3 linked regions of the Coturnix japonica genome follow. The protein of the gene in region 1 binds, or shares a complex with, the protein of each later gene. Links are inferred from orthologs where the notes say so. Each region holds a gene or a part of one and is shown on either strand. Other genes may lie near its edges.

Evidence for each region.
Region 2: VDAC1 (region 1) and SPG7 share a complex: the UniProt entries of both Homo sapiens proteins name them as parts of the mitochondrial permeability transition pore complex. The link is inferred for Coturnix japonica from reciprocal best matches to the Homo sapiens genes VDAC1 and SPG7.
Region 3: VDAC1 (region 1) and PPIF share a complex: the UniProt entries of both Homo sapiens proteins name them as parts of the mitochondrial permeability transition pore complex. The link is inferred for Coturnix japonica from reciprocal best matches to the Homo sapiens genes VDAC1 and PPIF.

What each region holds. Positions count from the first base shown.
Region 1 is NC_029528.1:2,137,108-2,141,146, forward strand, and holds part of VDAC1 (voltage-dependent anion-selective channel protein 1), read right to left. Parts: intron 1,052-4,039; 5' UTR 1,049-1,051; coding exon 982-1,048; intron 408-981; coding exon 358-407; intron 23-357; coding exon 1-22. UniProt on the Homo sapiens protein: Non-selective voltage-gated ion channel that mediates the transport of anions and cations through the mitochondrion outer membrane and plasma membrane.
Region 2 is NC_029526.1:16,690,943-16,694,164, reverse strand, and holds part of SPG7 (paraplegin), read right to left. Parts: intron 3,120-3,222; coding exon 3,004-3,119; intron 1,865-3,003; coding exon 1,708-1,864; intron 1,168-1,707; coding exon 1,004-1,167; intron 449-1,003; coding exon 371-448; intron 1-370. UniProt on the Homo sapiens protein: Catalytic component of the m-AAA protease, a protease that plays a key role in proteostasis of inner mitochondrial membrane proteins, and which is essential for axonal and neuron development.
Region 3 is NC_029521.1:10,018,436-10,022,971, forward strand, and holds the start of PPIF (peptidyl-prolyl cis-trans isomerase F, mitochondrial), read right to left. Parts: upstream 2,870-4,536; 5' UTR 2,813-2,869; coding exon 2,627-2,812; intron 1,468-2,626; coding exon 1,437-1,467; intron 510-1,436; coding exon 421-509; intron 1-420. UniProt on the Homo sapiens protein: PPIase that catalyzes the cis-trans isomerization of proline imidic peptide bonds in oligopeptides and may therefore assist protein folding. Involved in regulation of the mitochondrial permeability transition pore (mPTP).

The sequences.
Region 1 (4,039 bases):
CTGAACCTGAGCTTGTAAATTCCTGAAGAGGAAAAAGAAAATGATATGTATCACTCTGTTGCTTGTACTCATGTGATGACTGATCTTCATAGAATTATTATTTGTTGTAATTTGGGACAATAAGATCTGCATCTTTCTCAAAGGTGCTCAGAAGAACACACAGCACATCCCTGCAGAGCCTGCTCCAAATCCTGCGCAGAGCTGCACCATAAAGGCATGGCAGCCTGCAGGGCTATAGTATAACTGAAAGCTGATATGGGGAGATCAAGGAAGACACACTTCTATTTTTAAAAAGGAATACAGGGCAGACATAGGAACACTGCCGTGTTTGGGATTTCAGTCCCTGCCCACACTTACCAGTCCATTCTCAGATTTTGTTTTCAAATCTAGTTTTATTAACCCAAAACCTAGAAGATGAAAGAAAACATGAATTATATATAGGTTAATTTGAAAAGCACGCCTGATTTACTCCTCAAAGCTCCTTTCTAAATCTGCTGCCAACTATTAAAACAAAATAAAACATAACAAAAAGCACAACACGGGTGCTGAATCCCAAGTTGTAAAGCAGCAGCTTACACAGCTCACACTGCCTTCAGACAGCACTGCCTGCAGTGATCCTGCTGCCCTGCCACAGCACCAGGAGCAGCCTAGGTAAGAATGCCTTCATTCATAGTGAGCAGCAGCTTTTTCCCTAGGAAATTACTGACATCAATAGTCCTATTCACGATGGATGGAAGCAGCCAAAATACAACACTCTGTTTGCTTTCAAAGCAGACAACAGACCTACGGGGAACACGAAGATCTTTGTGCCAGCAAGAATAAGTCACCTCCCTTTGCAGGCAGCCATGGCAATGTGAAGGTAGGATATGGGAACCCTTGGATTCTAATGGAAATTAGTGGAATATTTATCAGAGAAAAGTAACAAAATCGTAACAGTTTCAAGAATCAGAGAAAGGTGAAACTTAATTTGGCTTTATTTACCATATCCTTTGGTGAACACATCTCTGGCAGACTTGCCCAGATCAGCATAAGCAGGTGGAACAGCCATTTTCTGGGGGGGAAGGAAAAAAAGAGGGCACAGTTACTATGTTCAGAAAGCTGTTTATTTAATTTGATTAAGCAAAAAGCAATTAAACCAAATTCCTCAGTTTCAGATGGTTTTATTTTCTATCTAAACCCATCAATTAAGTACAGGCTGAAGAAAGCAGCTACAGCAAATGCTGAGGTTTGAGTTTGTCCTTTTGCTATGTGATAAACACGCATTTACCACTGAGGATGAGAAACACTAAACACTACAGAACAAATACATTAAAAAGAACCCCCAAAACCCACATAAGTTGCCCATGCCTTTCCAAAGGGTTACCAGCTGTGCCCTTATCACTAGAACCACATGAATGAATAACTTTTTAATCAACTTCTAGGAAACATTTCTCCCATTTCTTGCAACCGATCTATGCATTCTGATGCAAGGAATTAGAACCCCAAGGTCATCTGCTCAGCGAATGTAACCAGCACAGACATCCAGCAGCTGCAGCTCCCACCCGTCCCTAACTGACAGCAGCAAATGGCTAACATTGATGTTAGCAAACTCAACAAACGGGCATCCTTCACCTTCCATTTTCTTTGACTCCAGAATTGCTGTGAACAGATACAATTTCTCTTTAGCCATTGACCTGGAGGTGCTTTTCTAGGGAAAAAACAAACTTGTTGAGAAGAACGAGGACTGAATGGATGCTACACGTGATCCTGAGAGGAACAAACCATCCAAACCCATATTCATTTGTTCTAGGGATGCAAAGTGAAGTGATAAGATGTCCACCTCCTGCCTTTTTATGCAAGACTTCATTTTATAAATGTGAAGATGAACCACACATGTAGAGCTGGCTCTCACTGCAGCACAGCTCCAGCCAACCTAAGCAGCAAGCTCTTCCCTTCAGCCACAAGCAGAGCAGCCGGCTGTGAGCACCAGGGACGCAGCCTTGCCACAGCCTGCAGCCTCTTTGGGCAGGTACCACCCCACGAGCTGCAGATAGGCATTCCTTTGGGCAGCTGCTTGGCCCAACAAGCCGTTGCCTGTTGAAGCAGGATATTGCTATTGCATAAGCGAGGAATCCCTATCCTGGAGGGAACAAACTGGATCTGGTGGCTGAATCAAAGCCAACGATGTTCACAGAACGCACTGAAAGCAAAGTGCACGCTGCAGTGCAGCTTCAGCTGGGGACATTACCTGCGTGGAATCACAGAATCATTAAGGTTGGAAAGGACTTCCAAGGTGACTGAGTCCAACCCCACCCCACTGTGTCCCCCAGTGCCACATCCCCACAGCTCTGGAACACCACCAGGGTTGGGGACTCCCACCTCCCAACCCCCAGCCAGCTGTGCCACTGCATCACTGATCTTTGGATCACATCAGGCCTAAATGTCTCCATTTCTTACAGAATTGTGAATGCTGGGATTTAAAGTTTGCAAGCACTGCTCTCTACAGGACAAACCATCTCAACAGCGGATCAGGTGTGATTCTGGAAACACAAAACCATCCTTTAGAAATCCACCAATGAACAAACCAAGTACTTAAAAACATCTCTGAGGAGATCCTCTGCTCCTCAACTGAGGTCCCCAAGAGCACAGCACCACGAGCTGGAGATCACAGCCTGGGGCAGAGCTCAGTGGAATTAATAGGGCCCCCAGCACAGGATATGGAGGGATGGGTCACTAAGGCTGAGGAATGCATCTTCCCAGCCAGAGCAGCCCGGTCTCAGGAGAACCCTCTGATGGGTATTTCCATTTAGCATCATCAAAAATTCAGAATGCTACAATCTCTCCATTGGACAATCAGACCACACTGCTCCTCCAGCTGCACATTGGCATCTATCAGACATATTTTACCAGCAGCCCCTTTGAGTCACTCCATAAAAATCAAACTATTTCCTCGAAAATTGGAAGCCTTGTGAGTTTGGGTTGGGCTGAGCAGAGCGTTTGTATTTGCCAGGTGGACAGGCCAGGTCAGGCTGCAGCACAGACAGGGCTGCCACGGGACAGCAGGAGATGCTGAGATCTCCACTTAGGCAATTACTATAATTAAGGGACAATACTGGAAGCCAAATCCCTGTTGTAAGGCAAATCAGGTAAAACACACAGAACAAGGTGCTTGCAATTGCGAGTGTGGGAAAGGTGATGAAATATGCACGTGCTGGTTAACTCTGCTGTTGTCATCATCAGCAAGAAGAAAAATAATTATTTCTGTTTGCATGGGCTAATCAAAGCCTCTTGTTTAACAGATGGAAAACAAAACTGATTACATCCTGTGTGAGTGCAGGTTGGAAGACAAGCATGCTTAGCGGGGATTCAAACTCTTAAAGGATCAAGGCATGGCCGTGGCCAAGTGCCCTTGCTTTTCACCAGTAGGATCTCAGCACATTAACTCAGATTAGGGTAGGAGTGAAATGAAATCATTGCTCTCATCCTTCTCCAATTGTGCAAGCATCTCAGAGTGACCACATATACCAGCTCCAGCACAAAGCAGACCAGGGAGGTCACGTACTACATGTTTAAGTAGTAAAATATTTCCATGTTCTTGAATGGGTAACACTGCCATGCGAGTCGTGACTGAGGCACCCACAGCCCCAGCCAAGATTTCTCTGAACACAAGGCAGCCCAGCAGAAGGCACTGAAATATTTCCCAGTGTCACAGATGGCAGTTTCACTCTGCAGGGTGGGTCTGGGGATGAAAGCAAACTTGGCCCCAGCAGACAGCAAAAGCCATCAGGGAGTCCTTTGTAAATGTGAGTCTGTCTCTGTGATGGGTTACTCTCTTACTTGATGCTTCCCTACACAGACTGATCAACTACATGACACTTAAACGAGGGGAGGAGCTCTCAAAAAAAATTAAGAATATAACCAATGGATGATTAAGCTTCCAACAGGACAATGGGAGTCTATCAGATTTGAGGTTAAGAAAACAAAAAGGCTGGATTTAATGTTACTCTAGTCACATTTTTCCTAATAAACTTGAACCTGCGCAGCATTCCTTGACTGATAC
Region 2 (3,222 bases), on another chromosome or scaffold:
CTATGCACAAGGAAGCCTGCTGGTGGGTAGGTGGAAGTGGCTGTTTTTCTGCTGTTGTTTAAAAAGAGATCCTGGAAGGGAGCTGAGTGGCCAGGGGACTCCCCAGGCACAAAGCAGAGGAGACAAAGCTCTACTTCTGCAATAAGGCCTCCTTCATATATTGAGTATCAAGGAGCTGGCAGGTGAAAATTGCCTGGAGGTACCTGGAAAGCACCAGTCTACCAATTCAGCAGTCCCAAAACAAGCCCTGGAATCCCCATTACAAGGCATTCTAGGACCACAGAGACACTGCTACAACCAAGCTACAGAGCACAGAAAGTATCAAGGCCAAAACCAACAGTTGAAGGAACTCCACCTAACTTCAGCTTACCGTTTGCAACTTATCTCGGTTGTCCAATAGGAGTTTTTCCGTGCGTCTGTAGGCCTGAGCCACCAGCACTTTTGCTTCCTAGAAGATAAGAAGAGAGATTTGTATTGCAAGTGGACAAAAAAGGAGGAGAGACCTCCACACAGCAGAACCTTTCCTTCCCTGGTTATCTGTCCTCAGTTCCATAACAATGCTCCCCCCCCAGCTCCATCTCCTTCAAGTTATTCTTTCTCCCCACTCTGCAGAGCATTTCTCCCCCTTTCCAAGTCACATCTATACCTCCCACAAGCTCTCCAGGGTCTTGTCCACAAAAGAATCAAGACTGCAGCTTTCACACTGCAATGGATAGAACAGACTGTATTTCACAACCACTCACGGCAGCTCCAGGCAGCGCAGTGCTGCTGGGCTGAACTCACAGCTGTGTGTGACTTTGTTCTTAATGCCTCGCTGAGCAGTCCTCATACACAGAACAGTACCAGGCTAACAGAGTATCTCAGTGCTCAGTTGTTGAATTTTACTACTTAATGGCTGAACAAAAAAGAAAATGCAAAGCATTTGGGTACAAGTTCCATGCAATTTTCAATGAGGACAGAAAGTAAAGAACAAAGAGGAACAGGTGACCAGGAGCAGCCTTACGTGGTCCATCATCTGCTGAAGGCTCTGGCTGAAAGGGCGACGGCCAATTCCAACAGTGCTGTCCCCATCCGGAAAGGAGATCTGCCCGATGCTGGGCACCATCCCATACTGCTTCACCATGGAGTAGGCTATCTTGGTCACCCTCTTCAGGTCATCCTGCGCTCCTGGGCGAGACAGACAGAAGGAAGGTACAGCAGGTCTGAGATGAGAGCAAGAGGAGTATGTCCAGCACAGACACACAATCCACCAGTCAAGAGATTAGAGGACCTGCAGGAATCCATGAATGTGAGCACTTTACCTCACTGTGTGCATTGCAGGACAATGAGTGATATACTGGTAGCTAGCTCATATGGACTGCTTACCTGCCACTGCTCCACTCTTATCCTGTTTAGCTATAAATGGTTGGAACTAAGGCACAGAAATCTCCAGGCTCTTCCACCTGCCAAGAGTCTCACTGTGTAATTGCATCTGTAGCCTCAGGCTTTGGGACAAGTCTGAGACTACACAGTTGGAATCCACAATAAGAGGCCTTCACGCTCACAGTCCCAAGTCCGAGATTAAAACAAGCACTGTGAAATTTCTCCTTCCCATTCCCAATGATGGGAAACCCCCATTTCACATTACTCTTGGACAGAGCAACAAGTATGAAAGTTCAGACTCTTAGTACGACCTCCCCTTGCTCGTGTCAGGGTCTGTCCTCTCACCTGTGGTGACTTTGTTAAATGTGATGGCTTCAGACACTCTCCCTCCAAGTGCCATGCACATCCTCTCTAGCAGCTGCTCCCTGGTGAAGAGGTATTGCTCTCTTGGAAGGATCTGAGCAAATCCAAGAGCTGCATTTGTTCGAGGGGCTATGGAAACCTGCAAAACAGAGCAGCTCCATCAGTTTGGAGAACAAAAGAGCTCTCAGCTACAGCAGCAGAGAACACAAAGAGGTCCGCCCTCCCAGGAATGTTTGTTAAAAGCAGTGGGGCTTGCTCACTAACCTACACAGGCACAAACTGCAGTTGCCATTCCCATACTGAAGGCTCTGCCTTCACAGCTGCAGAGAAGCTTTCCTCACTTTTAGAAGAAGAATTAAGAAGGAAGTTACCCTGAACAGCAGGCCAGTGAAATCTTGGGACTTAAGAGTGGCTTTGGAGGATGTAAGCCAGTTGAAGTTTACTTAACCACGTTCCAAAATCACGGGGACTACCTAACAAACATACAGGATGTCTACAGAAAAATAAGACCCAATTCTCTCACCCATTATAAATGCAGCCACATTTTGTGGAGAGTAATTAACAACAGTTCAGCTTATACAATAGGTCATTCAGAGTGAATTTGCTGCTGGTGGTAGGCCAAGAAGCTGTCATTCTTGTCATTTCCACCCCTCCACCTCTCCCCTGTGTCAGGGCTCTTTGAGGGGACGTGCATGGGACAGAACACACCCTGGGGTGCCAAAGGGGGGCCCTTCCTTACAGAGAAGGGCTTCAGGCAGGCAAACTCCTAGGCGTGCCAATCTGAATAACACATCTCTTTCGATTAGTATCAGAGCAGTTTCTCTAACGGCCTGACTGGTAGCTGCAACACGCTGGCAAACCACAGCAGAGAAAGAGATCACGCACGCACACACGCACACAGAGCAGCGCTTTGTGCTTGGAGCAAGTGCACGAACTGAGCAGCAGCACCAGAAGATTCAGTTGCTCCCGATGTGCCCAGCAACTGGGTAACCAGCAGACACTGGGAGCGCTTTACAGTCAGATTTTAAATGCCAGAGTTCCCCTGTGGCTGATTAATCAGCTTTGGACCACCGCTATCATCACATGAACCTGTTTTTCTTGACAGTGTATTTGCACTATAAGTTGCTGTTGTGTTTACAGCTCCAAGACCACAGAACACAGTAAGATTAAATTCAAGCGCTATAAAATAACCAGCACGCCCTGGGCAGCAGCAGCCCAAAGAATTCTCTTACCACCCAACAACACACAACGTGATGCAGCAGCTGGTGCCACCATTACCTTCATCACTGCCTCCGTGTGCTCCAGCAACCAGCCAACCAGCGCGTGGCCCGACTCGTGGAACGCCACCACCTTCCTCTCTTCGGGTGACAAGATTTTATTTCTTTTGGCAGTGCCTATCAAAACACAGGCAGGGATGGGATCAGACAATAAGTGGGCAATAGGTGTAAGCAGCAGGACATAACCCTGTACAGCTTGCTGCACAAGCCAGCGCTGTCA
Region 3 (4,536 bases), on another chromosome or scaffold:
TCATCCCCTCCCTATTTTTTCCCCAGAATCACAATGTTTGCTGAACAAATTAAGCCACTGAAATTAGACACACTATTTTCTGAGCTGGCTTCAGAGGTAAGACTGCTTGTCATTCTACCCATAAACAGTTCACCCAAACAAGTGCCAGTCACCAAGTGTGCCCCACCTTCAGTACACTCCTATAAAAGCACAGAGCCTTATGCCAAAGTTGCTTTTTCTCTTTTAAAACTAATCTATACAGAATTTGCATCTATTTGTACAAAACGCGCCAAGCAGCTGCCACAGCAAGATCAGAAATGCAGGAAGCAAAAGTGAGAGCAGAGGCACTTAAAATGTTACTACTGGTATCACTGGTTCTAAAACTACATCAAGAGCATACAGACAACATTAGCAGAAGTAAAACCAAATGGTAAACATTACCTGGCACATAAATGAAGGAATAACTCTGTGAAAGGTGGATCCTTTATAACCAAATCCTTTTTCACCAGTACAAAGTGCTCTAAAGTTCTCTAGAAAAACAAAACATAAAACATTATCTTCCCCATACATGATATATCATAGACTCAAACACAGTTAACTAGGCCAAAGTTCATGAACCAAAAAAGACAGTATTATTGAAATGACCGCTTTCATCCTCAAATCCTCTGCTCTATAGCTACAGATACAAAGCCTGAAGTCTGCCTCAGAGCACAGTACAAACATGCCCTCTCCCCACACTGCTCTTTTATTTACTGCTGTATCTTAATCATAGTCCTAAGCCCCATCACTGTGAAATTAAAGGTTTCATTTTTTGCATCTTATGCCTTTGCTCTCTACATTAATTGTGCAGATGACACCTTTCCTTCAACAATTCACCCATGGGGAACTGAAAGAACACACATTTTTTAGAACCATGAAATAAGCAGACAAGGCAGGAAGCACCTGGAAAAGCACACAAACTTTGCAACATGGACACACTGATCTAGCACACGTGGATAGTTGACCCAGCAGTTGGCAACCCTGCCTGTGGTGGGGGGTTGGAATTTGATGATCCCTGAGGCTGCTTTCAACCCAAGCCATTCTACAGCCAGTTAGTGGCAAGGAAGACAAACTCACGTATGCTGCCTGAGAATCCAAATGCAAGGGATACCATCTCCTACACTTGCCTTTCCTATTTCTTTTGTGGTTTAATTTTCAATGGGAAGCAATTTGTCTCGAAACTTATTTACTTACCAGTGTTGGCCTAACATGGAGTGTACTGTTTGATTTTGTAATTGCAGAAAGACCATTTGAAATAGCAGTAGACTATAACCCCACTCACAGCACCACCTGATAAAGTTCAGTGCATATTTTTCTATTTAACAGCTGGAAAAGGATGATGGAAATGGTTTCCATGAAGCACAGAACATTATTCTTCTTCCCACTTCAAGTATGAAAATCACAAGGTGCTGCCTTACCTGCTGTCTTTGGAACAACATCGGCTTTCAGCTGTAAGAGAAAAATAAAACAGAAATTAGCTGGCTTGTCTAGATATACACAGAAAAACCTCTGTGTGACAGGCTGGTTCATCTAAACCCTTTTACCCAAAAATGAGCTGTTGGAAATCACAAGCCACCCAAAAATCTAATGTTTGCCCAGTGTGGGCAAGTAATGGTCACTAGTGAACAGCATCCTTTCTTCTGCAGATTTGGTCAAGTTAATGATAACTGATCTAAGCAATATCTGAACACAGCCCTGAAAACACTGAAACATCAGGGGGAACCTATGACAGACAGCAGGGACAAAAGCCCCACTAGTATAACCAGAGCAATAAGCTCTCACTAGCACAGGGCAATCTGTGAAACCTTACAGAAAGGAAAAAAGAAGAACAGAAACTGTGTATCAAAACTGACTCATGTCATCATATCCACAGCCACCACAAGCAGGAACTTCTGATTGTGACTGCTACACTGCTTTTCACTAATCCTAAAGACAAGCACTATACGCCATCTAGAAAAAGCAACATCAGATAAAGATGGCATTCAGGGCATGTAATATCACCTAGACATTCACTGAACGTTACAGAAGCAACTTGCCCAGCAGGACTTTAACCTCTGACCATCCCAAATGTAAGAGTGCAATTAACATATATACCGACATTTCCCAGGATGAAGAAGCTCCAGCCGAACATAAAATCATTTTGGAAATATCCTTATGAACCACACAGACATGTGTAAGTACATAAGGACACAGGGGGCAAAGCCACCCCACGCTCACTGCACGGCCAAGGCCGGTTGTGCCCCTGGATCGTCCTCGGGCACGCAGCCTCTTCACTCTGCTATGCAGCAGTTGCCCGCTGCAGCACGTCAAGCGGATGCCGGCCGCTGGCTTAACAGGGAGAACCGAGACGGGGCGGAACCACACGGAGAACCCAGCGCAATGACCGGTGTGAAGCGGCAGCAGAGACACGGGGCGGGCATCGCGATCCGCCTCGGTGGCGACAGACGGGCGCTCCCGAGTGAAAGCGGAGCCCGGAGCAGCTGCCCACCCTGATTGCAAACCGCCACTCAGCTCCTCCCTGTACTCCCAGCTCCCATCACCTCCCCGCCCTCCCGTGACCTTGCGGCCCGCCATGCCGGCCCTCCACCGCTTTCCCTGCCCTACCTACCTCCAGCACGACGCGCCCCAGCGGCTGGTTGTCGGCGCCCACGTCCAGGTACACCAGCGGGTTGCGCGGACCCGCTCCATCCGAGCTGCAGCCGCGGGCTCCGGCCGCCCGCATGCAGGAGAGCCCCGACGGCAGCAGCTCCCCGGGCGGGCGCAGCAGGCGGCGGGCGGCGCTCAACACCAGCATCGACGCACGAGTCCCAGCACAGCCGTACGAACACGGCGGCCCCTCCACCGCCTTTTATCGGCTCGGCAGCGCCGCTGGGGCCGCCGCGGCTATTGGCTGCACTCGCGCAGCCGCCGTGGGATCATCCGGCATCGGGCTGTGATCGAGAACGGGCGAGGAGGAGGCGCTGCTGGGCGGCTGGTGCTGCTTGAGATGCTCGGTGGAATTGCAGTCCCGATTAAGGTTTCTGGTATCAATGAGAACAATGGCTGAAGACGATTTAATCAGTGTCGCTCACCTCAGGAAGCCGTGCATTGCGCCCTGCCGTGAGCGCACAGAACAGACGGCTGAAAAGCCCTTGCAGCGACTTGCAGGACTCTCGGATGTGCCCATAGTCACTGTGTTCAGTGCCGTGGGCTTTAATGGAGATTATGGAGGGAAATGATAGATGCAATATGAGCTTTAGAAAATGTATCCATGATCTGTATCTATAACAGACAAAAACAATAAACCTGTCCCCAAGATTCCCAAGTGTCTGTGCCATCACAGGCTGAACGCTGTTGATGAGGCAGCAACAGATTCACTGCAGCACCAGGGCAGTGACAGGAGCAGCTGTGTAGGGGATGGTTTCCTGCAGCCCTGATCAGGAAAGGATGCATTGCTGGCACACAGGGAAGAGCTGCATATGAAACTGCACATAGTCTCCTGGTTTTTGTACGAGTACCAGCTGCCTTAAGGTGATTTACTGTGGATTTGTTTAACAGTGGCCCAGTCAGCATGCATGTCTAGTCGCCTTTTATCCTCTCTGCCACAAGCCCATTTTGGAAAATAGCCACCAGAAGCACAAACCAAAATGAGCACTTAGGTGTTAGGTTTTGTGTGTTCCTATAAGAAGAGAGTTCTGACCCTAAAGGGCTCATTATTTAATAAACAAGACAGAAGATAAGCAACAGAAAGCATTGCCTTCATTTCACACTCTGAACTGTTTTGCTCAGTTATCGGGTATCTTGAGTAGGCCAAGCAATGCATTCCCCCACACTTACTGCTTTGTGAGAAGCAAAACAACATGCTTTCTTTCACAGCAGTATTCTACTTGAGAAGATGGGCTAAATTATTATTTCCAGGCTTATGGAACAAAGCCACTAAACCACCTGTCATGATGTTCTACCTCTGCACAATCAGTGAATTGAAACTTGTACAGAAACTTGTCCCAACTTCAAGAACTTGGGAGTTACAGAGGAGTCATTTTCCAAGAAAGGTGGAAAAAAGTGCCTTAAAAAATCTGCCAAAAGACCAACCTGGATCATGAGAGCAGGAGAGATAGTGAAAGACCCTTCCATTATACTGAGTGATTGCAATGAGAAATTAGATCATACAAGTGAATGAAGGGTAAAGAGTAACCACTCAGTTACATGTATAGATTAGAAATGTTTCCCCTGATCAAGGTTTCATTTTAGGAAATGTGAATTTCTCTGCAGCACACCATGTACATGAAGGGTGAGTTTCCCCACATGACTTCATACTAATTACTGACAAATTGTCATACAAGAAAAACCTCAATCCTCTCACACTCCTTACAGCTGTGATTAGCATTTTCCTTTCGGACATTAGGAGTGACCTTGCTTACCTGGAATTCATTACTCAGCCACCTTGCATAACGTATAGGGGGGTTGTATGGTGCTCATGCACCACCTGACTGCTTGAGGAACATTTATGGAGAGTTCACAGTGGGCTGGCAGGGCATG